2 linked regions of the Rattus norvegicus genome follow. The protein of the gene in region 1 interacts with the protein of each later gene in a biochemical or structural test. Links are inferred from orthologs where the notes say so. Each region holds a gene or a part of one and is shown in the gene's direction. Other genes may lie near its edges.

Region 1 (11,600 bases):
TCATTTAATTAGGTGTAATGTCAATGAAACCATTTATTTTCATTTTTATCTTAAAGTTATATATTTAAATCCTAAGAGATTAACTTTGAAATTGATTTTTTTCATGAGACTAGAGCATTAAGCTAGATCTAACTTACATATAAAAATTAAATATGCCAACTCACACCTTTAAGTCCAATGGATTTGAGCATGTGTGACTGGAAAATGAAGATCAACTACCTTCTCTTAAAGTGTCTTTAGCCACTTAATGAAACATAGTATTTACTCTTTATCCAGAACATACAAAGCAGAGTGTGACTGAAAGATAAAGAAAAACTAAGTGACATTTTACCCAATCGTAGATAAATATGTATCACATTAAATGCTGTTGAACTTTTCTTTGAAAATTTATATCCTGCAAAGGTCCTCCGAGTCATCTTCATATTAACGTTATAAACAAAATGTATTTATTTGAATTTTATTTAGATAGATGAGAATTTATGTACTGGTAGACTAGGAATATAAATTTAAATCCTATTAGAACTTTGACCTCAGACAAATTTGAACATTTTCTAACTTTTTAGTTGTCTAATCTCAATCAATCTCTCTCTCTCTCTCTCTCTCTCTCTCTCTCTCTCTGGTGTGTGTGTGTGTGTGTGTGTGTGTGTGTGTGTGTGTGTGTGTGTGTGCATGTATGTACTTGCTCAAAAATTAAGAGTCTATTAAATTTTCATATTTTCTTTTCTTTCTTACACATGGAATTTAATAAGATCGTATAGGACAGGGTTGGGTCCTAAATCCACAGGGAAAAAAATAATGTTATTAAGTGAATCCAAAGCCACTTAAACTAGTGTCTTTCTTCCTCTAGGGCAGTTCTGCATTTTCTGACTCTTAGCCTCACCCCCTCTTCTCTCACAAGTTCCCTTCCCTATTTATCTGTCTCTGTGTCACATACACCGCCTCATCCAAACCACATAGCTTCAAAGCCCAGTAATTATCTCTCATTAATTTCCCTCTCTATCTCCCTCCCTGGTCATAGGACCACAGACTCTTAAAAGCTGAGAAGACCTTTGTAATGTAGCTTTCTTCCTTTGCAGAGAGACATGTCACTTCTGTTGGTTAATGCCTGCCACCAAGGATGTCTCTCGTCTTTCCAACAACCACAGCCTACAGTTCTTCCTACATTTTCCACTCAAAGAAATGCGTGCATGCGCTCACTCAGACTCACATGTCCTGTGGAATCCACAGCCATTCTTTCCTCTGTCGTCCTGGAGCACAAGCATAACTCTGGGCTTTGTGACAGCCCTGTACACAGAAAGGGCAACATCCTGAGGGTACTGGGTGACCCCATGAGTCATCATGATTCCCAGGCATCCTCATAGTCTCCCAGATACAGTGCTGAGCACTGGACAAAATGCTGTAGATGCAGTCTGAGGAATGCGGAGCAGAGGAGAGAGGAGGTCTAACTCAGTCCAGGACTGAGTTCATTGGTACATCAGAATTTCATACTAAGCTAAAACCTTCTTAATTTACTTTTGGACAACTAACTTTCAAGCTTCGATGTATGCGCCCAATATTTTTCTTATTTATGCTGTCTGATCATTTTAGATATGTTTTATTATTTTATGTGTATGAGTGTTTCTTTTTTGGGGGGGTAGGGAGGATGTGAATAAATAAATATATATTTTAAACAAAAGCATTATAAAATTGAAATCGTCTAAATACAAGATTGCATAATACATGAATACATTGTATAAATACAAAGATATTGTAAAAATATAGCAATCAAGATAATTGAGTGCAATTGACAATTATTACAGAGAGAAATAATATGGAAATAGGGTCAATATTGTACATCGCAGAAGCAACCTAACCAATTTGTATTCCAAACCTGGATAATAACATTATAAATATACAATCTTAAGTAATATTAAGTAGCTGTCAAACATTCTTCAATTTCCCATTTTGCAATATTTTTGATGGCTGAACTTTCAATGGCATTTTCCCACCGAATGAGCAGTGAAAGCATCACTCGGTTCTCCTTTGTCCCTTCTTGTTTTCTTTGAGATTACTAAAAGGACTTTTCGCTAGCTCTCCATTTACAACATAATTCTTTGCCGTGTTTCCTTAAATACATTTAAAGAAACTTCAGTTTTAATCATTGATATTTCTGTTAGGAAACCTCTGATTTAGGAATGCAGCATATTCCTGTCTAGCCCACATGCAATGTATTTTAGCTTTCAATCTAGAATACAGAAATCTTGGTCTCTAATACCATTTACTTTCGTCTCCATCCTTTCCAAAGTTATAGCCTTCAAGTGCAGAGAGAAATGCAAACACCACCTGTGCTCCCAGACTTTCCATTTCCTATCTAGAGCTTCAACATCACGAGAGAGAAGTCCCAGGTTCCTTCAGATGCTGTAATGCAGCCCCATATGATTCAGCAGAAGTGGGGAGCAGTTGGGCTTGATTAGTCTTGGCACGCAGTCTGTCACATCTCAGGAAAAGGCTCCAAGAGGACCACACACCTCCCAATTAGCCATGTCAGACTTGCATCTGCCTTCCTCTGTGTCCTTCAGTGGGAAGTCAATGCCACCCAGAGTGAGTTTCAAGATTGTCCAACGGTGACCGCATTATCAGGCAATCACATTATGAGTGATAGAGTGTGCATGCGCAGAAGCCTGACCTTACCGTTCTTCCTGTCAACTTTCTATTTGCTATACTATATACTCCAGGAATTCCATTTTTATATCGTCCTAGGATGAAACTCTCAAGGTATCTTGACTCCGGTGTTAACAGTAATTGCAGGCTGGCAGTATAGCCCAGGTGTTAGAGCAATTGCTTGGCATACAGGATGCCAGGAGTCCTGTCCTCAGCACTACAACCAAATCTTGCTTTCATGGAGTTTGCTTGTAATTGCAGCACTATAAAGAGGTAGAGGCAGACAGATCAGGAGTTCAAGATCATCCTAAGCTACACAGGGCCAGCCTGGACTAAGGCATAACTCCCGTTCTCAAACAAAAACAAAATTTAGGAATAAGATAGCTTAACCTGTCTCCTCCTTAGTCTGGGAGGTATTCTGAGTGACTAGCAATTAGAGGTGTCACCAAGGTGTCAGCAGCAACTTTCAACAGATAGTGTGGCACATACAGAGTTGGTTAGAAAGGAAGTGAATTTCTACCTTTCCTACCCTTGCTTGCCACTTTGTTTTGATTCAAACACCAAAGCCATTGTGGTAATTCATTCTCTCCTATTTCATACATTCTCCTAGAAAGTATGTTGATGCTACTGTCCACGTTCCCCGATCTTTCCAATTTTGTAGTCAGATAGCAGGATCTCAGGCACTAAGAGTAAAGGATCTTTAAAGTAAAGGATCTCAGGAGTCTCCTGAGGACTATGATATAGAATTTAATATTGCACTTAATGTTCACAGCTGACTCCACAACTTAAGAATCAATTTAGTACCAGTCACACTTTCAATTTAACTCTTGACTGAACCACAGCTTACCAGAGCCCCTCCAAGGCTTCCTTTGGGAGGTCAGTTGTTCTTCCTCTATAGTATCAGGCTGCTGTGTCTCTGAGAGAATAGTTACATTGTGTGTGATGGTTGTTCTTTTAGTCATAGAATATGTATTCGGTGACACGGAGTTACTCTGAGTCAGCAGCCTTATCTTAAATTCCTTCATGTTATAGATATAATGTCTACATCTAATACAAACACAATGGATATTTAATGTCAGATGGGTAGAAGGAATGATATATAGATGGCGATAATCAAATTAACCGACTGAATGTAAACATTTCTCTTAGTGCACATGTAATCCTTTGACTGGTATCCCTCGGCGCCTTTCTCCTTCCTCTCTATTTTTATGAAGTTTTAAAAATTCTGTATGTTCTCATTTTTAAGGTAATGTTAGCAGAACAACTTTTCCGCAAAGAGTTCAACCCGTTCTTGAAGAAATGGTATCGCATTATTGGATTAAGCGGCGATACCCAGCTGAAAATATCTTTTCCAGAAGTTGTCAAATCTTACGATGTTATTATCAGCACAGCTCAAATCCTTGAAAACTCCCTCTTAAATCTGGAGAGTGGGGAAGATGATGGTGTGCAGCTGTCAGGTTGGTTGGAGTGATTATTTTTAGAATAAAAAAGGCTGAGAGGAATATTAAAGATAGTAACAGGGAATGCTTGTTAAATCATTTTTTATGATGAGAAGTAGCCTCAGTCTATTTAAGTTACATTTTATTTCACAAGGCTTCATTGAAGTGCTCTACTTCCCTGCAAGAAAAGGACCAAAACCAGAGAAATGGTTAACTTAATGGCTTGCTTTTGCATAAGTATATCATTACTAAATCAAGTACTGTGTTCTTCCATTACTTCTGACACACACACACACACACACACACACACACTTTCAACTTATCTCTTGATTGACGCATACCTTACCAGAGTCCCGCTAAGCCCTTCCTTTGAGAGACTAATTTTCCTTCCATCCTGCAGTTACTCTGCCTGTGTCTCTCTCTGGGAGAACAATTACATTGTGTAGTATATGTGTACACACACACACACACACACACACACACACACACACACAAATTGTTGACAGAGTCGGTTAGAATTACCTTCTTCACTATAGAGTAAAACTACAGTCCTGCCTACATTTTTGGAATGATTAAGTAGTTGGGATCAAAACAGAGAAAAGTAAAAGTAATCACAAGAATTAAGCACAGAGTTTAAAAAGCGCAAAGCCATCGGCTCTCTGGATAATACTCTTTTTCACTTGGTGTTGCAAAAAAGGACTTTATCGGCCTAAAATTAAAAGTTTATTCTAAAACCAAGTGGGACTCTGGGAAGATTTTGTGGTGGTAGTTGTTTGTGTGGAAGAAAGGTGTGACTTTCACTAACACTTTCTGCATCCCATCTTGAGACAGGGATGACAGCTAGCAGGAGTAGTGCTGTAGTGGACACACGACTATTCGTAGTCATAAATTTTACTACTGGTCACTGTTAAAATTATACCAGCAGATTGACGTAGGGGGTGTGCCAATGCTATGCCCAAAGGAAAGCGATTCTTCAAAGTTCTTGTGTTGCTGTAAGAAGCCAGTTTGGGTAAACAGACCTTCTATCTTTCTGTTAAGACTTTTCCCTTATTATCATTGACGAGTGTCATCATACCAACAAGGAGGCAGTCTATAACAACATCATGAGACGGTATTTGAAGCAGAAGTTGAAAAACCATAAACTCAAGAAACAAAACAAACCAACAATTCACCTGCCTCAGATACTAGGACTGACAGCTTCACCGGGTGTTGGAGCAGCCAAAAAGCAATCTGAGGCTGAAAAACATATTTTAAATGTAAGTCGCTGATTTTGTGTATAACCAAAAATAATGCTATATCAAATGACAAATGCCTATGGCTCTTAGGATTTTAAGTAGTGTTGAGAATTCAAGTGCCAAAAGCTATTTGCTTTGGCTCTAGAAAATAACCTCAGTCTTGTACACCAAGGTGATATTCTTGATAAATACCTGGGATGCGAGCAAAGGATAGTAGTTTTCATTCCCAATGATGTCTTACTCCATGACTTTCAAAGTGGCATGCTTTCCGTGTCTCTTTGCCTTATGTGTCAGCCTAGAACATGGGTTATTCAAGTTAAAACAGAAAAGAGGCAAATGCTGTGGTTCCCACCTTTAATCCTGGCACCAAGGAGGCCGAGCCCAAGCAGACTGCTGTGAGTTTATGAGTTTACATAGTGAGTTCCAGACCAACCAGTGCCTCAGAGGGAGACCATCTCAACATAAGGGGTTGGTTGGGGTAGTGGGAAATAGAAATGTGAGGACCTTTTTATTAAATATACATTCACCAGCTTCCCCAGATGGGTGCCATCTAAAGTGCTGCTGTCCCCAGATAGGTGCCGTCTAAAGTAGTGCTATTGATATCAGGTAGTAAGTGGGTCAGAGTACTAAAGCCTCACAGTAGGTTGAAATCAATAGAAATTACTAAAGTAAACAAGAGGCAGAAAAGGATTGTCTCCAAAATTCAACTCATGACTGGGATAAAGGCCTAACTTCTACCTATGATCTAGGCACAAAGACTAAGGCAGCTCCTCCCTTTGTGCTGTCTTCTTGTACATAGACAATAATAAGATTATGGTCCATGAACATCATGGCTGCCTGATATAATCAGATGATAGTTACTCCATAATTAACTCCTGTGAATTTGCACAATTTTTCTAGTTTTCTAAGTCCCATATTACAGCTACAAAGTGAAAACCAAAGGACATCTTTTTTCTAAAATTGAACTTCAAATATACTTTTGAAAACATCAGAACAAATATTATGGATTATCATTGGTTAATTAAATCCATAGTAATCAATGCTAAAATACTGCATTCAGTAAATAATACTGTACATTTCCTGAATGAAATATTATGCTACATATCGATACTAAAATGCATATTATAATTTTCTTACACGAAAAATTTCCTTGCATTGGGTTGTAAGAAAGGGATACTTACAATGTGTCTCTTTTCCAGATATGTGCCAATCTCGATGCCTTTACCATTAAAACAGTGAAAGAGAATCTCAGTCAACTCAAACACCAAATAAAGGAACCATGCAAGAAGTTTGTGATTGCTGATGACACCAGAGAGGTATGAGAAGCATTTTATATACACTTGTCTGACAACACCATATCCAATGGAGTATTTTACATTTCGCCATCTGAATATTCTCATTAAACATCAAACAAGCCATGATTTTATACCTTTAAAAGTTGACAGGAGGCAGCAAAGACTGCTAATAATTGTCAGCACCATCCTCCTCCTTCTGCTTATGAGATATAGCTCAGTGCATGGCTACTTCTGAGTCTTGGAGGAGTGGAAGTATTGGGCCAGAGCACTGGACAGTGAACTAGAGGGATTATGGGAGTTGGTACCCTCATAGAGTCTCGGCGTTTGGTCTTGGCGTTTGCCGGATTAGCTTCTTACCAATCCAGGGAACGATTTTGTTGGCAATGACAATAGAAAAATCCTCATTTGCAATCTTTTCTTTTTGAAAACCGACTATAAAAAATGAAAAATTAAACATACTAGTACCTTTCTGGTAAATACTTTCACTGATTTAATAAGAATCAACTTATATTCTGTTTGGATGTTTTGTTTAGTAGAATATTCCTATCTTTTGTAGAATTGAAAACTTAATAGGTTTGTAGAAATGTAAAAGAAGTTTAATTCCACTAGAATCTGCCATTGGCCTCATAGGGCTACTAGGATTTAATGTTGAGATATGAGTGTAATAGGTAATACTCAGAATGCTGTGAGCACCAAACCAGTGCCAGTGGGAAACCTCCACAATGCACTCATTTTCATTCTGAAACTGAAGCGGCCGGAGTGTCGATTATATTCGACCCACTTTTACATTTTTCTCACTTGGATTTACCCGAGGAGTTCAAATTCATGCTTCTATTCTTGATTATCCATATATATATATATATATATATATATATATATATATTTCCTCCATTTGCCACTTTTTTGTCTTAACTTTTACAATTACTCTTCATTAAAGTATGATGCATGGGAAAAGCACAAGATGTACTTGTGGATTTTCATAAGCTGACCGAATTTGTTATGCAAAGAAAAAAAATTAGATAAAGAGTTAGCTCATTACAACGACCTCAGAACCCCTTCTACCAGTCCCCATGCCAAAGGAAACTTGGTTTTGTTTACATTTTGAACTTTGTCCAAGTTCAATCACATAGCATACATTCTTTCATATCTGGGTTTTTCCAAAGTATGCCAATTACTTTTTAATTTTGGAAGTAATTACAGAAGCCTGTTTCGAGTAGTTTTGGCTACACTGCTTCGTGCTCCTGGCTGTCTGCAGGTATGAACCTGCCCAGGAGCTATCTAGAATCTGCAGATGAAAGACACACACATTAGCTCATTTTAAAACTGCTTTATTGGTTGTGTGGCTAGCGTACCCTTACCATTACTCCTAGCGAAACATCTCTAAATCTGCCCTCAACTTAGTTACCTGGTTACCTAATGTGAAGCCCATTGGTCTTGTTGCCCAAGGCACTTTTGGGCCGCCCTTCCGTGGGCCACTTTCCTTTTCCACCTACATTTTAGATCTCTCCTGCAGCTCTCAGTCTGTTCCTAGATCTCCCCTGCAGCTCTCAGTCTGTTCCTGTCTCTTTACCCAAAGTCTCCTCTTCTTGCCCTCTGCTCTCTGCTAGCCTGCGGGAACCTGGTAGTCCTGCCTCTTTCTTTTCACACAGCCATTGGCCACTGGCATCTTTATTGATGGATCAAAAACCAATTGGAGCAAGGACCTTCTGTGTCCGTAAACACAGATTCCCAATTAAATCAAAGCACCATAACAACTCATTTACATAGGAATGCTACCTAAGTGAAATTAAAGACTTTCTAAATAATTGTGACATTAACTCAACGAATATTTTTAATTGCCTTTAACTTTCAAGCTTCGTAACATTCACTGATTTTACTTTTTAAAAAGTTATGGTAGTGGTTTCGAGTCAAGTAACTCCTGAAGTAAAGATAAAACTGTAAAAACCAAATGTAGTGAGCCACGAAGTGATCAGAGATTAATGTTTCATTGTCTAGGTAACGATTCTGAACCAATCACATTATAATATGCAAATCGTTTTAACAAAGCTAGTGAATGCCAGTTTAAATATTAATAATGTTTATGTCATTGTTTTTAGAATCCATTTAAAGAGAAACTTCTAGAAATTATGGCAAGCATTCAAACTTACTGCCAAAAGAGTCCATTGTCAGATTTTGGAACCCAACATTATGAGCAGTGGGCTATTCAAATGGAAAAAAAAGGTAATTTGGGTTTTGACCTAACTGCTTTTCCCTTGTTTACATTAAGATTTTAGACAATCCTCTCAGACACAGAAGCAACCTGAGAGCAAATGGAACATGAAACAGAATTTCTGTTTTGGGTGTAGGGCAAGCCCACACATGTTCTAACCCCTCATCTAAAGAAAGAGGTGTCAATTCATACAGTTTTCACGTCCGTTTATTATATATAAAGTATTAAGGCAGCTATCCGCAGCGCTGTCTTCACAGGCAATTTTACTGAGGTGTTTCCCAGGCTTTTCCTCTAAGGTTCAGGTCCACATTCCGGCTCTCATTGAGCTCAGGCAGCAAGAGATGGAGTTGGAAGCCACCCTCCTTAGAACTCATGGCACATACGGAGCCTCGCTCTGTGCCAGCGCCGCAGTGAAGTCAGTTCTGACTGTTTAAGCTCACAACACAGTTGTAGGATAGTTTTCTGCCCTTTGCCTCACTCACGGAGTTTATTCTTCCAAAGCTGCTAAAGACGGAAATCGCAGAGATCGTGTCTGTGCAGAACATTTGAGGAAGTACAACGAAGCCCTACAAATCAATGACACGATCCGAATGATTGACGCGTACAGCCACCTGGAAACGTTCTACACCGACGAGAAAGAAAAGAAGTTTGCAGCCCTCAATGACAGCGATGAGAGTGACGACGACGAGGCCAGCAGTTGCCATGACCAACTTAAGGGCAATGTAAAGAAATCTTTGAAACTGGACGAAACGGATGAATTTCTCATGAATTTGTTCTTCGGTAAGATTCAATATAGCACAAACCATGTGTTCCTGCACCGTCCTCTCAGACAGGAACTCACGGCTTTCTTTAAGTTTTCCAGAAGGCTCTCAAAATTCATCTTGAAAGAAAATCCCATGAAGACTGTGGTTTATAATTTGATATGACAGGTTAACTTTTAGTTGTGTGACTGTAATTAATTATTTGATCATCCAGTTTTACTGCCAAGACTATTGCAATTAATTAAATAAATAGTCTGAGCAATAAATATATCACAAGATTACCTGAGTCATGTCTTAGTGTATCATGTAAACTTTGCCAGTGTAATTTTTTTAATTTGCTGACGCCAACTAATTTTATTTTTAATAGTTTTTAAGTTATGTTTTTCTTTCATAAATCGACAGAGACTGGATCTGTGTGCGGCACACGGCAGGGTGTGTGAGTGTGTTTAGCAGGGTAGCTAAACCAAGCTAATAACATGAATAATTATTTTTTAAAGATAACAAGAAAATGTTGAAAAAACTAGCTGAAAACCCAAAGTACGAGAACGAAAAACTCATTAAATTAAGAAACACGATCCTGGAACAGTTCACAAGGTCTGAGGAGTCCTCCCGAGGAATTATTTTCACAAAAACGCGGCAGAGCACCTATGCGCTTTCCCAGTGGATTATGGAGAATGAAAAGTTTGCGGAAGTTGGAGTCAAAGCGCATCACCTGATTGGCGCGGGACACAGCAGCGAGGTCAAGCCCATGACTCAGGTGCAGCCTCCGTTTGTAATCCATTGCTTAAACTTCAACCAGTCTTCTCTCATTGTTTGTAATGGCTCTCAGCTCTTTTACCATCTCACAGACACTTAACAGCCTCTGCTCTTGGCTTTGGTGTATATAGTAGCCAATATGTATGTGGTACCACAAGGCTGATAGTGGCACATGATGAGTTAAGGAAAAAGCTAAAGTGGAATCCCCCTTTTATAAGCAAGCGTACAGAGACTTCTTAAGTTTGGCACCTCTTGTGAAAATCAGTAATTTTTACCTTAACAATATCCTAAAGAAATGTTTACAAAATACAATCCAGCAGAAATTCAAAACTGCTCAGCACGTGTGGATTATAACCAAAACTGTTCAGCCAGTATATGTAAATTGAAGTCTATAAGAATCTGGATTAAAGCCCTGAGTGTTAGGGAGGAAGGTTTGAGATGGTTTCTGCTGTTTTATTAGTCTTAAAAATTATTTATTGTGTGTACAGTTTAAAAAAAAAAAGCACACTTCTGAGTGTGGGGAAAAAAAAAGACAACTTGTAAACTATAGAAGTCTTTCAGTTTTCTCCTGGAAGCTAAGTTCCCCTGGAATCTTGCTAGTGGAAAGGATGTTTCAGTTCTGTGGTATTGTTCACACAAGGGGACGGACCAAAACCATTTAGTGTTTGTGTAAGGAAAGGAAACTTGAAATGGCCCACTCTAACACTCAGTTCATGCACACTCCCTTGAGATAGCCAGAATATCCAACGGTGTACTGTCACTTCAGACACCATAGCAGACTCATCTGTCCTGATAGCGGTTAGGCAGATACCTGCTCTGAGGGCCAAACACTGGGCCTGCAATTTCGTATTCAAGTACTATTTGAAATTAAGGCACAGGTCTATGTTAAATCCAAGGCATTTTTAACATCGCGCATCCGCGCGTGAAGGAGTAGGACAGAGGCTTGCTAAAGAGTTGCCAGGCGTCTTGCTATGGTGTTCTGTCAGAGTGGTAAGCCAAATAAAATCTCGTGTTCCCTTTAAGAAGAAAGGAAAAAGCGTGGGGGAGCACACACTTGCTCTGGGTGATGACTTTTACGTAACTTCTAAGGATAAAAGTGTGCACTGCGAGTCACGTAGGCTAGCAGCTTCGATGAGATTCAAGTGGAAATAAAGTACCATATCAGATAGGGTCATATTTCTATATAATTATATTAAGCTTTCAGACTTGACATTAAAAATTCCCCCTGTGATTAAGCTGAAGTCACGCGCTCCTCCACTTTTAAT
Region 2 (11,700 bases), on another chromosome or scaffold:
TCCCAGAGAGGGGAGATATAATCCCAATACCTAAAGTCCTGTTCCAGAAAAAACAAAACACACGGCCCTGACCAAACACTACCAGGCTCCATGCGGGACGACCCTCGCTCCCATTTTCACTGTCCGGGAAAACATGACAGAGACCACAACTAACTGCCCTGGGCCTAGTGGGGTTCCAGACCTCTAAGGCCAGATCTTCAGGAGGAGTTGATATGAGGGTCTAGAGAAGGAATGTGGAGCTGTCCGGGTCGACCGGAGGGAGCCGCGCCCCAGCTCCCAGTGCGTCAGAAGCCGGACAAGGGCGACTTGGATCCCTGCCAAGGAACGTTCCGGGGCACCAGAGCGCAACGCTCTCGTTGCCCTTGCGCACTGCCATCTTCCTGGACTGTCCTTCGCCCTTCCGTAGCCTCGGTCCCTTTAAGAGGTCTGCGCACACAGGACCTCGCTTCCGCTATGGCCGTTCAGCTGCTGGAGGAGGACCTGGTGACTTGTCCCATCTGCCTGGGTCGCTACTGCGACCCCGTGACGCTGCCCTGCGGGCACACCTTCTGCGGGAACTGTATCCAGGATTCGTGGCGCTGTTGCGAAAAGATATGCCCCGAATGTCGCCAGCCTTTCCCCGAGGGCGCCAAGCTGAGCCGCAACGTGAAGCTGAGCACCTTGTTGCAGGGGCTGCCGGCCGCCATCCAGCGTCTGGAGTCCGGCACGAGCCAAAGCGCTCGCTGCCCGCGCCACGGGAGGCCGCTCGAGTTCTTCTGTCTCACGGAGGGCCTCTGCGTGTGCAGCGCGTGCACGGTGCACGACTGTAGCCACCACGAGAGGGCGCTGCTGGACGTGGAGCGCCGCGTGCGCGAGGTGAGAGAAGGGCCGGGACTGTTTGTGGCCAGGGCCAGGGGCTGCAACAGAAGGCTGCGGGTTCCCATAGGAACCTAGAGGCCATGTACACCTGACTGTCCCACACAGCTCTCCCCAGGTCCTCTGAATAAAGCAGAGCCAGAGTGTTAGGCCAGGGCTAACAGCCCCATTCGCCAAGGTGACCAACATTCAATAAGCGTGCTTTCTGCCTTTCAGAGGCTGAAGATCTACTCAAGGGTCAGATAGTGTCTCAGCAAAATGTTTCATTCTATAGAGATGGCAAGGTCAGCCTGCTGAAGAAGAGTGGGCGGCGCTCTTTAGGTGACTCCTCAGGGGTGAGGAAGTACCAGCCAGAAAAAGAGGACGCAGGGACAAGCGCCAAGGAGCAGAGATGACGGGGAGGAGACAGGTTCCTGAAATCTCCAAACAGGTCATCGGGGACCACACCATGATGGGCAGCATGGTGGTGGTGACTCTTCCTCTCGGGATGTCCAGAACCTTCCCGAGCTTGAGACAGGGCGATGATGTCATCAAATTTCTGCTTTCTGGAGACTGAGCTCCAACTGGGGGTGTGGAGTGGGTAGGAGATGAGGAGGAGGTCACAGCTGCAAAGCAAAAGAAATGAGAAGTGAGTAGGAGCCCGGTGCCCAGTGGAGACAAGTAAGAAGTAGGGATGGCTGGGGACAAGGTTTCTGCGTGAGACTGGGCTACTCTGTGCTGAGGGTGGGTGGGGAGCAGCTGGTTTGGGATACGAAGTGTGTGGATGCAGTGGTATACACAGACACCTACTGAGAGCTGGGAGGAGACGCGGGCAGTAAGGAGAAAGCCGGAAGTCGCTATAGTTCCCTAGAAGGAGTGGTAATTTGTTGGGCAGGGAGAGTCTGCCCAAGATTACATCTTGACAGCTACATAGATGGTGGCTAGGGCACAGCCAGTGACAGGAGAGAGAGTTCTCCAGGTGATCCATGCTGCTGAGAGGTTCAGTTAAAGGCAAAAAAAGGCCATGGAATTGGCACCATGGCAGCCTGCGCCCTCGCCCATGGCCATCACAGCCAGGCTGTGAGGCTGTGATTACCAGGAATGAGACAGAGGAGACGGAGTGAGAGGACTGCAGCACACGGACAAGGAGCCTGAAGGAGGGAGCGCGACCAGTAAGGGATGGAAAGTGGGAATAAGGACAGATGCCTGGGACATTTCAGAGCTGTGACAGGGCCAGGGTGAGGTCAGAGGGTGAGTGGCAGAGACAGGAGGAAAGAAACGGAGTTTCAGAGGGTTGGAGGGTGAGCCCTGGAGCTGCTGAAGCCCCGAGAAGTAAAGCTGAGGCACTGCTGCCCAGGACAAGTGAGAGACCAAACTGGGTACTGAAGTTGGCATTGGAGGTTAGAAGCCCTCAGCATGGAGGACACCTCAGCCAGATGGCTCATGCTCTAGGGGACAGAATTTTGCTTGAGAGGAGAGAGGATGTGAGGCACAGGACGCCCAAGGGCCAACGAGGCTGGCAGACACAGTGGTAAACATCGAGAGACCCTGCCTCAAGGTAGAGGGCACGGACTGAGACACCCGAGGTTGCCCTCTGACCTTCACATGTGCACGTTGGCATGTATGCCTGCACCCACACTTACATAAACACAAATAGGTTTGTTTTTTTGTTTTTTGTTTTTTTTGGTTCTTTTTTTCGGAGCTGGGGACCGAACCCAGGGCCTTGCGCTTCCTAGGTAAGCGCTCTACCACTGAGCTAAATCCCCAGCCCCCACAAATAGGTTTTTAACATAAGCTAGCTGGTGAGGTGGCACACACCTTTAATCTTGTCACTCTGGAGGCAGAAGTAGGCTGATCTCTGTAAGTGTTCAAGATCAAGTTGGTCTACGTGGAAAGTTCCAGGCCAGCCGGGGCTACATGATGAGACCCTATCTCAAAGCAACAATGATAAAGGTTCCCAACTCAAAATGGTGTTGGAAGGAGTAAAAACAGGTAATGAGACTCTTAGCCAGGTTAAGCATCATCTTCAAGTACCAGAATGGTGCTCCTATAACAGCACATTTTGGTCTCCGGGGAGAACAGAAGTCAACCAAATGATAATAACGTCCGTCTTCCCTCTGGGCTCCTAGGTGCTGAACTGATCACTGGTCAGACAACTCTGTCCAGTCTCCCGCCCCACCCCAGGCTCTGTAAGCCCAGTGCTACCTCTCTCCTTTGTTGCCTGGGGTAGGCATGAGGTTTGGACCAGAGAAGGTGGGGGAACTCTGTCCAGGTCACTCAACCTGCAAGCCACAGGAGTGGGACCGGAAGTGGGGTCTTCAACCCAAGACCAACACATTCCTCATATAGCATCCTGCTCCATGCAGAGAAAGGTCCCTATCCAGGCCTCCCGGGACTCTGACCTAGTTCTGGGATTGTCCAAGGCACTTACCATTAGGGCCATGAGGAAAGTGCCCAGCATCTGTACTGGTGGTGACTCAAAGGTTACAACCCTCCTAACCTTTTGTTGCTTGCCTTCTGGATGGGTGCCACAGGACCGACTGAGAGCTAGGGTAATGGTTACCCGGCAACAGGCCACTCAGGCAGAGACCCAGCTTGAGGAGCTGCAGCAGCAAAGCAGTCAGATTGAGGTAATTCACCATGTGCTCATGTCCGGCCTCACCCCTTAGCGGTTCCTGGACTGCAGGCAACAGATGTGAGCTCCTCGTAGATGCCTCCCAGCGGCAGGGAGTGGGAAGTTGATCAAGAAGCCAGGCCTCAGTGGGAAAGAGGTTCCAAGGGCCCTAACTGACTCCCCCATGTTCCCACCCTTCAAGCCAAGTGGGTGACTGAGGGCCCGGCCTGCCTTGCCATGGTGCTGAGAATGGCCACGCTGAAGTTCCTCCTGTGCCCACGCAGAGTTCAGCCCGCACCCTGGCCTCGGTGGTCTCCAGGAGATTCAGTAGCCTGCTCCAGGTTCTGGAGAAGCAGCAGGCCTCAACACTGAGTGACATAGAGGGAGCCAAGAAGCGGGCGCTGGACCAAGTTCTGCATGAGAGACAGCGGCTGACTGACCACCTAAAGGCCCTGTCTCAGTACGACCAAAGTGTCCAGGACCTCCTGGGGCAGGGGGATGATTTCATCTTCTTCCAGGTACGTCAGGGCAGTGGGCTAGGGCCATGCTCCCACGCCTCGAACACCACTCACTGCCTCTGTCCCCGGGGTTCAGGGGTTACAGCAGCTCTCTGAGCCCATAGGGTCCCTCGGGCCACCGACTCCTCCCCAGTGGGATGAGGAAGAGCAGTTGAACAGTGTGAACCAGCTGCTTAGCCCACTGTGTGAGCTCCTCCTTGAAGAGAAGACCCTCCCCACGGCGGCAGACAAAGCTGCCAGTGCTGGCCCTATGGGTAAGACTGACTTCTCCCTGCCCTCTGGGCCCTCCCCACCCCCCAATGCTGGGTAGATGCGGGGAGTCAGGGATAACCCTATCCCTTCACTCTTTGTTCTTAAGAGGCCTTGGGTCCCCTGGCACCAGTCCCCAGCGCAATGTGTCCACTGAGGAAGAAGCTCTGGCAGAGTAAGGAGACACAGTGCCTGTGTGTGTGCGGGTGACAGATGTGTGCACGTGAGAGTGTATGAATGTGTGCATATGCTTGTGAACATATGGGGTGGGGGGGCTGCTCTAACTGTCCTGTCCACACTCCTCACTGGGCCTGTCCCCACCTTAGCACATCTGCTGTCAGACGTAGACCTCATCCAGATCCACCCTGAGGCAGATTCAGTCAGCATAGTGTTATAAAGGGCACACTCTGGGGTCCATCTCCTCCTTCTGCTTAATAGTGTGTGAACTTAACTCTCTGAGCCTCAGTTTCCCCCTCTCGTAACATGGGGCAGGTAGAGGATTCCAGCTCTGAGGGAGCAATGAAGGATTCACCAGTAAGACGCTGCCCGGTGTTCAGCCCACTACGCCTGGTAGACATTTAAACTGTCCATAGTTGGAGCTCAGGAACCCTAGGCTCTAGGGGAAAAAATGACACCTCTGCCCACTTCTGTTTGTCTCTCTCCAATAGATTATCGCAATCTGACCTTTGACCCAGAGACTGCCAACCGGTATTTGCTCTTGTCTCACAAGGCCCAGCAGGTGACACACCATTTCCAGGCTCAGAGCCCAGCCAGGTCAGGCAGCTTTGAGCTGTGGCAGGTACAGTGCACCCAGAGTTTTCAGACTGGACAACATTACTGGGAGGTGCGTGCCTCTGACCACTCCATCACTCTGGGCGTCACCTACCCAGAGCTACCACGCCGAAAGCTGGGGACCCACACAGATAACATCGGTCGTGGACCCTACTCGTGGGGCCTCTGCATCCAGGAGGACAGTATTCAGGCCTGGCACAATGGCAGAGCTCAGCGTCTGAGTCGGGCAGGGGTATCTGGAGGACTCCTGGGCGTAGATTTGAACTTGACCTCTGGCTGCCTCACCTTCTACAGCCTGGAGCCACACACACAGCCACTGCACACTTTCTATGCAGTTTTCAGCCGGCCTCTCTTCCCTGTCTTCTGGCTCCTTGAGGGGAGGACCCTTAGTCTTTGCCATCAGCCTGAGGCCGAGCTCCCTCCAAGGCCCCAGGAAGAGGCCATAGCACCCAGCTGAGGAAGGCACAGACAGGTGCCACCATGCTTGTGTGCCCAAAAGTGGCTCCGTCCCTGGCTTAGAGACCAATGGCCAACCTTCTAAAAGGAACAGCTGGTGGCCTCTCTGTGGACTCAGAGGCCAGAGATGGGAGAGGAGCCCTAAGTCCAAGTTTACTTTTTACTCTCTTCGAAGGGCCCAGGGGCCAGAAGAAAGCCCCGGCCTCAAGCAAGAACCGAGTTCTTGGCATTGCTTGGACATCGATCTTAGTTCTATTGCTGTGAAGAGACACCATGACTAAGGCAACTCTTACAAAGGAAAGCATTTAACTCAGGGCTTGCTTACAGTTTTAGAAGTTTAGTCCATGGTTATCATGGCGGGAAGCAGACAGGCGTGGTGCTAGAACAGTAGCTGAGCTGGATACATCCCAATCACCAGACACACAGAGAGGGGGGAGGGGAGGGAGAGAGAGAGAGAAAGAGAGAGAGAGGGAGGGAGAAAAGGAGGGAAGGAGAGAGGGAGAGGGAAGCTTTTGTAACCTTAAAGCCCACCCCAAGTGACACACTTCCCCCAACAAGGCCACGCCTCCTGATCCTTCTCAAACAGTTCCACCAAGTGGGGTCTAAGCACAGGCTGTAGACAGCCAGTGTGGCGATGGGTATGGGTGTAGCAGATGTGAGCTGCTTGCCTTTGCTGGTCCCAAATATGCTTCCATGAAGGTCCTGGATGTTTTTTTCCTCACATTTCTAGAAGTAGAATTTTTTTTTTCTTTTTGGTCCTGGGTATAGCACCTGGGGTGTTTTGAATGCTAGCATTCAAAGTTCTGACCTCTCTCACCGATGACATCTACAGCCCGGTGTAATTTATTTACTTGAAATGTGCTGTGTTCTGGTGTTGGCGGTAGTTACAAGGAAGCCCACTTTTGTAAGGTCCTTTTCTTTCCTTTTGTAATTCCTTAAGCATTTGTTTTGTATGCTCATGGGTAAACATCTCCCAATAAAAAGATTTCAGAAATTCTTTTGTTTATTTAGTCTGGGACTCAGGGTGGGGTGGCTTGTACGCCACAGGGTGCATGCAGAAGTCAGAGGACAACTTGCAGGAGTCAGATCTCTCCTTCTACCTTGTGGGTTCTGGAGTGGAACCCAGACTGTCATGTTTGACAGCAAGCACATTTACCTACAGAGTCATCCCATCATCCCAACAATAACAGGTTCTTGTTGCTCGAGACAGGGTATCTCTATGCACCTCTGGTTGGCTTAGAACTATGTAGACCAGGCTGGCCCACTCATAAAGATCTGCCTTGCCTCTGCCTTCTGCGTGCAGGGATTAAAGTCATGAACCAACATCGGTGGTCTCTTACGAATTTTTAAAGGGTTATATGTGCAATAATAGATCCCCTAGGGAAGACGTAAATGTTTTACAAATGACTAAGCATTCCTTTAAAATATATATGTGTGTGTGTGTGTGTGTGTGTGTGTGTGTGTGTATTTTGCCCACATGTTGTGTGTGCATGTGTGTGTGTGTGTGTGTGACTGTGTCTGTGTGCACACACACCTGTGGAATGACTGAGGAGGCTAGAAGAGGGTGGTGGGAACCAAACCTGGGTCCTATCTCTTTAGCCCTCAGATGGATGGTCTCGCTTCGCTATATAACCTAGCTGGATGGAACCCCCTATAAAGCGTATTTCACATCAAACTCGATGCGATCTAGGCAGCCTCTTCCTGCCTCTGCCTCCTGAAGTCATGGACTTGACTTTTTTTGTCGGGTGAGGGGTTGAGACTTGACCTTAATCTGTAACCCAGGCTGGTCTGGAAACTTGCAGTGTCCCCATGCTGACCTCGTTAGGTGGCAACCCTCCTGCTTAACCTTCCAAGCATTGGGATTATAGTATAACCCATGAGCCACCCTGCCTGCTGGGTTTCTGTCAGTCGCTGTTGCTTCTGAAGCCAGCCAGGGTTACACAGGAGGGCAGCCACACTCCTAAGAGGTTTAGGGTTATTAATGCCGCACTTGCATTGCAGGACGTCCTGAGGCAAGGTGTGCAACCCGTCAGGTTCCCATTTGCCTCCTCTGCACGGGGAGGATGTTATTAGGGGCAGGTGTGAGCACATCCTTGTGGCGCTATGAAGTGCTGCTATTTGTGCCCTCAACATCAAAACAACTCTGAAAGACTGCAGACATTAGGTAACAATGTCTAAGACAGGTAGCGGTGGTGCACACCTTTGATCCCAGCACTCAGTAGGCACAGGCAGTTGGAGCTTTGTGAGTTCAAGGATGGCCTGGTCTACAGAGGGAATCCCAGGACACCTGAGGCTACACAGAGAGGAAAAGCTTGCTTTGTTTGCTCTGCTCATGGTCCATCCTGACCTTCACATGAGGCCCCCTATTCATCTCATGTCCCACCTTCCTCTCTCTCCTGCCCAGTCATAGGCTCTGGCCTTAAATTGTCCAATCAGAGGTCATCAGGAGTATTCTTTACAGCACATCGGTCAAGACAATGCCCATGTCCAGACTGCAACCTGGTCTTGGGACACAGAACTTAGCATCTGGGGGTTGGGGATTTAGCTCAGTGGTAGAGTGCTTGCCTAGGAAGCGCAAGGCCCTGGGTTCAGTCCCCAGCTCCGAAAAAAAGAACCAAAAAAAAAAAAAAAAAAAAAGCTAGCTGCAAAAATAAATAAATTAATTAATTAATTAAAAATAAAAATAAAAAAAAGAGCTAGCTGCAGGCATCAAGAACTTAGCATCTGAATATACAGCTCACAGATCTCTATACTTTGAGAGCAATCTAGTCTACATAGCTAGTTTCAGGCCAGCCAGGGCCACATACAGATGTTGCGGTATAATTACAAAGTGGTGCGACCGGTTCCCGCGTGTCACTGCTCTATGCTGGGCCCCTGGTACTCTCAGACCTCGGTGGTCGCTCCCTGGTGTTAGTTCTAGCACTGTAGGGCCATATAGAACTAACCTCAATTTATCTCAGTGGCGGCTGGCTTCAGTGAGGCACCACGCCACGTTAGCCCAGCTGTCTTCTGGCCCCAGCGGTCTCTCCACTCCCATTGCTAGTCACCCTGCTCAGCCCTGGCCAGCTGGGAACTCTCTGGTCCCAGCTACCCAGAAATATCAAGACTCAACAAACTGTAACCCAACAACCAGATTTACATGTTAAATTCTCAAACCACAATACATCCACACAGTAAACTTACAACCAATTGAAAAGGACATAAACTGTCCACCTAGGTAAGATAAATTTGCTGACAGACATCCATCCCAGCTACCTTGGCAATTCAAGACCACCCTGGACTGGGTCATCCTTCCCTGTCTCCATTTTGATTCTCCCTCCTTTTCCTTCTCTCCCTCCCTACAAAAACTTTGTCCCCTCCTTATTCTTTTTCTTTTTTTTTTTCTTTTCTTTTTTTCGGAGCTGGGGACCGAACCAGGGCCTTGCGCTTGCTAGGCAAGCGCTCTACCGCTGAGCTAAATTCCCAACCCGTCCCCTCCTTATTCTTTTACTGTCCAATCGTGGCCTTGACCTAACTTATGCCAGCCCTCACCTGCACAATGACATTAACCTACATACAGAGACTGTTTCAAAAACCCAAAACAAAAGCGACTACCACCATTCTGGGTATGTATACCTGTGCACTCAGCTACCAAGAAGGCTAACGAGGGAGATTCCCTGAACCCATTATTTCCAGGCCAACCTGGACCACACAGTGAGACCCTACCTTTATCCTACTAGACCCATACCTAAAAATATGGCAGCCTGGGTCTTAGGCATCGTAGCCAACAGGCACCATAGGTATGGCTTTACCACCGGGCTACACACCTACAAATTGTTATCTTTGGATCTCACTGTGTGGTCCTGATTGATCTGGAACTTGACTTGCACACCAGGCCAGCCTTGAACTCACGGAGACACATCTGCCTCTGCTCCCAAATGCTGAGATTAAAGGTGTGTACCTCAACACCCAGAACACTTGCTGCCCCCGAGCCCCACCCCAAGTGGAAACTTCCAGTTTCTTTGAAAAATCAGTTATGTTAACTGATGCTTTGCAGGGGCACACGGGTGAAAGAATGTTTTGCTAAAGCAGACACAGGTGACAGGATGCATGGCGTTCAGAAGGAATATCCATGTGACCCCACAGACAGTGGGAACGCAAGCATTGGTTTGCTTCGCTCCGCCTCACTATTCTTCCCTAACAGCACACAACTATTCATTCACCTTACACTGCGTTGTTGAGCTTTGCCTGTGGTGATGTCATAGAGAGAAACAAAGAACTCAGGAGGCTCCCACAGCTTCTTGCTGCTTCTGGTGATTGAACTTCCCTTGTTGGTTCGCATGTGGTGTCTGCCAAGAGAGAACTAGACTGCAGCTCCTGATTTGTACATGGTGTTTGCTCCTGGACTGAACTCTTTTTTTTTTTTAAGATTTATTTATTTGTTTTATTTATTTATTTGTATATGAGTACACTGTCGCTGTCTTCAGACACACCAGCAGAGGGCATCAGATCCCATCACAGATGGTTGTGAGCCACCATGTGGGTGCTGGGAATTGAACTCAGGACCTCTGGAAGAGCAGTCGGTGCTCTTAACCGCTGAGCCATTTCCCCAGCCTCCTAGACTGAACTCTTGATATCCTGACAAAGAAGGTTGGACTCACCCCACAGAACTATTTCTAAACAGGTCTGCTTCTCCCGTGTTCTAATAACTCTGGTGTGTGGTAGGCTAGAGGGAAGGTTGGGTCCTTCTGAACGTAGGTTGAGAAAAGTTTATGTCTACCCACACCCCTTTTTCTGGGACAGTCTTACGCAACCTAGGCTGACCTTGAACTTGCCATGGATGACCTTGAACTACTGTTTCTTTTGCCTGCACTTGCTGTTTTCTGGGGTTACAGGTGAACACTACCATGACTAGTTCTTTCTACATAAGCAAGATATGCAACGTAGGACTGAGCGACTTCCGAGGGTTAAGTGGCATCTTTAGATGAGTACTGCTTTCATTGTCCTCTAGTGTCCTAAGATTTGCAATGGTCATTAAGTTCTTTAATAAATCTCACCTGGGGCTGGAGAGATGGCTCAGTAGTTAAGAGCATTGGCTGCTCTTCCAGAGGACCTGAGTTCAATTCCCAGCAACCACAGGGTGGCTCACAACTGCCTGCAGTTCTAGTTCCAGAGGATCTGATGCCCTCTTCTGAACTCCATGAACACTAAGCACACATGTGGTCCCCAGACATACATGCAGGTAAAATATTCGTACACACAAAATAAACTTTCCTAGTTAGGGTTTTACTGGTGTGAGCAGATACCATGACCAAGACAACTCTTATAAGAATAACATTTAATTAGGGCTGGCTTACAGATTCAGAGGTTCAGTCCATTATCATCAAGGTGGGAGCATGGCAGTGTCCAGGCAGGCATGGTGCAGGAGGAGCTGAGAGTTCTACATCTGAAGGCTGCTAGCAGAATACGAACTTCCAGGAAGCTAGGATGAGGGTCTTAGAGCCCATGCCCACAATGACACACCTAGTCCAACAAGGCCACACCTTCTAATAGGGCCATCTCCTGGGACAAGCATATTCAAACCATGACATAAACCTAAATAATTTAAAAGACAGTTTAAAAAGAAAAGCTTCAACTCCCCAAAAACAGGGTTCCGGGCTATAGGACGGATGTGTGTAAGCCAGTGAAAGTGAGAACCAATGGCTGTCTTTCAATGAGATGGCTCTGAATAGCTCAAGCTGACTTTAGTTAGACTAACACATATTGATATAGATGTAGATGATATAGATATATAATTAATATATATTAGACTTATTAATTTATTTTGTACTGTAGCTGTCTTCAGACATGCCAGAAGAGGACATCAGATCTCATTACAGATGGTTGTGAGCCACCATGTGGTTGCTGGGAATTGAACTCAGGACCTCTGGAAGAGCAGTCAGTGCTCTTAACCGCTGAGCCATCTCTCCAGCCCGTAAGCATGAATTTTATATCGCAAGCTGAATGATTCTATCTAGCCAGCAGACACCGACTGTGTGCTGTGCCCAGGCTGGTAGCATCCATGCTGTTACAGAAGTTAAAGATGTGCAAGCACCGTGGCCAGCATCTAACAGTATCTTGCCTCTATATTTTTGCAGTCAGCAAAGGCTGAACTTTTATGGCCTTTATTTCTTCCTTATAAGTTCTTAACGCCATCTTTTTGGAAACCATTTCCTATGTTCTTGGGATATAGTATTCTCTCTCTCTCTCTCTCTCTCT

What was found.
Region 2: of the proteins of Ifih1 (region 1) and Trim65, one has a biochemical effect on the other in vitro, tested with the Homo sapiens proteins (2 studies listed by BioGRID, with this or other methods). The link is inferred for Rattus norvegicus from reciprocal best matches to the Homo sapiens genes IFIH1 and TRIM65.

Annotation. Positions count from the first base shown.
Region 1 is NC_086021.1:67,644,289-67,655,888, reverse strand, and holds part of Ifih1 (interferon-induced helicase C domain-containing protein 1), read left to right. Parts: intron 1-3,886; coding exon 3,887-4,097; intron 4,098-5,117; coding exon 5,118-5,335; intron 5,336-6,513; coding exon 6,514-6,630; intron 6,631-8,705; coding exon 8,706-8,829; intron 8,830-9,319; coding exon 9,320-9,598; intron 9,599-10,076; coding exon 10,077-10,336; intron 10,337-11,600.
Region 2 is NC_086028.1:101,851,584-101,863,283, reverse strand, and holds Trim65 (E3 ubiquitin-protein ligase TRIM65), read left to right. Parts: upstream 1-453; coding exon 454-855; exon of another isoform or gene 856-1,460; intron 1,461-2,652; exon of another isoform or gene 2,653-3,368; coding exon 3,369-3,464; exon of another isoform or gene 3,465-3,732; coding exon 3,733-3,966; intron 3,967-4,042; coding exon 4,043-4,220; intron 4,221-4,324; coding exon 4,325-4,390; intron 4,391-4,883; coding exon 4,884-5,464; 3' UTR 5,465-6,458; downstream 6,459-11,700. UniProt on the Homo sapiens protein: E3 ubiquitin ligase that plays a role in several processes including innate immnity, autophagy or inflammation.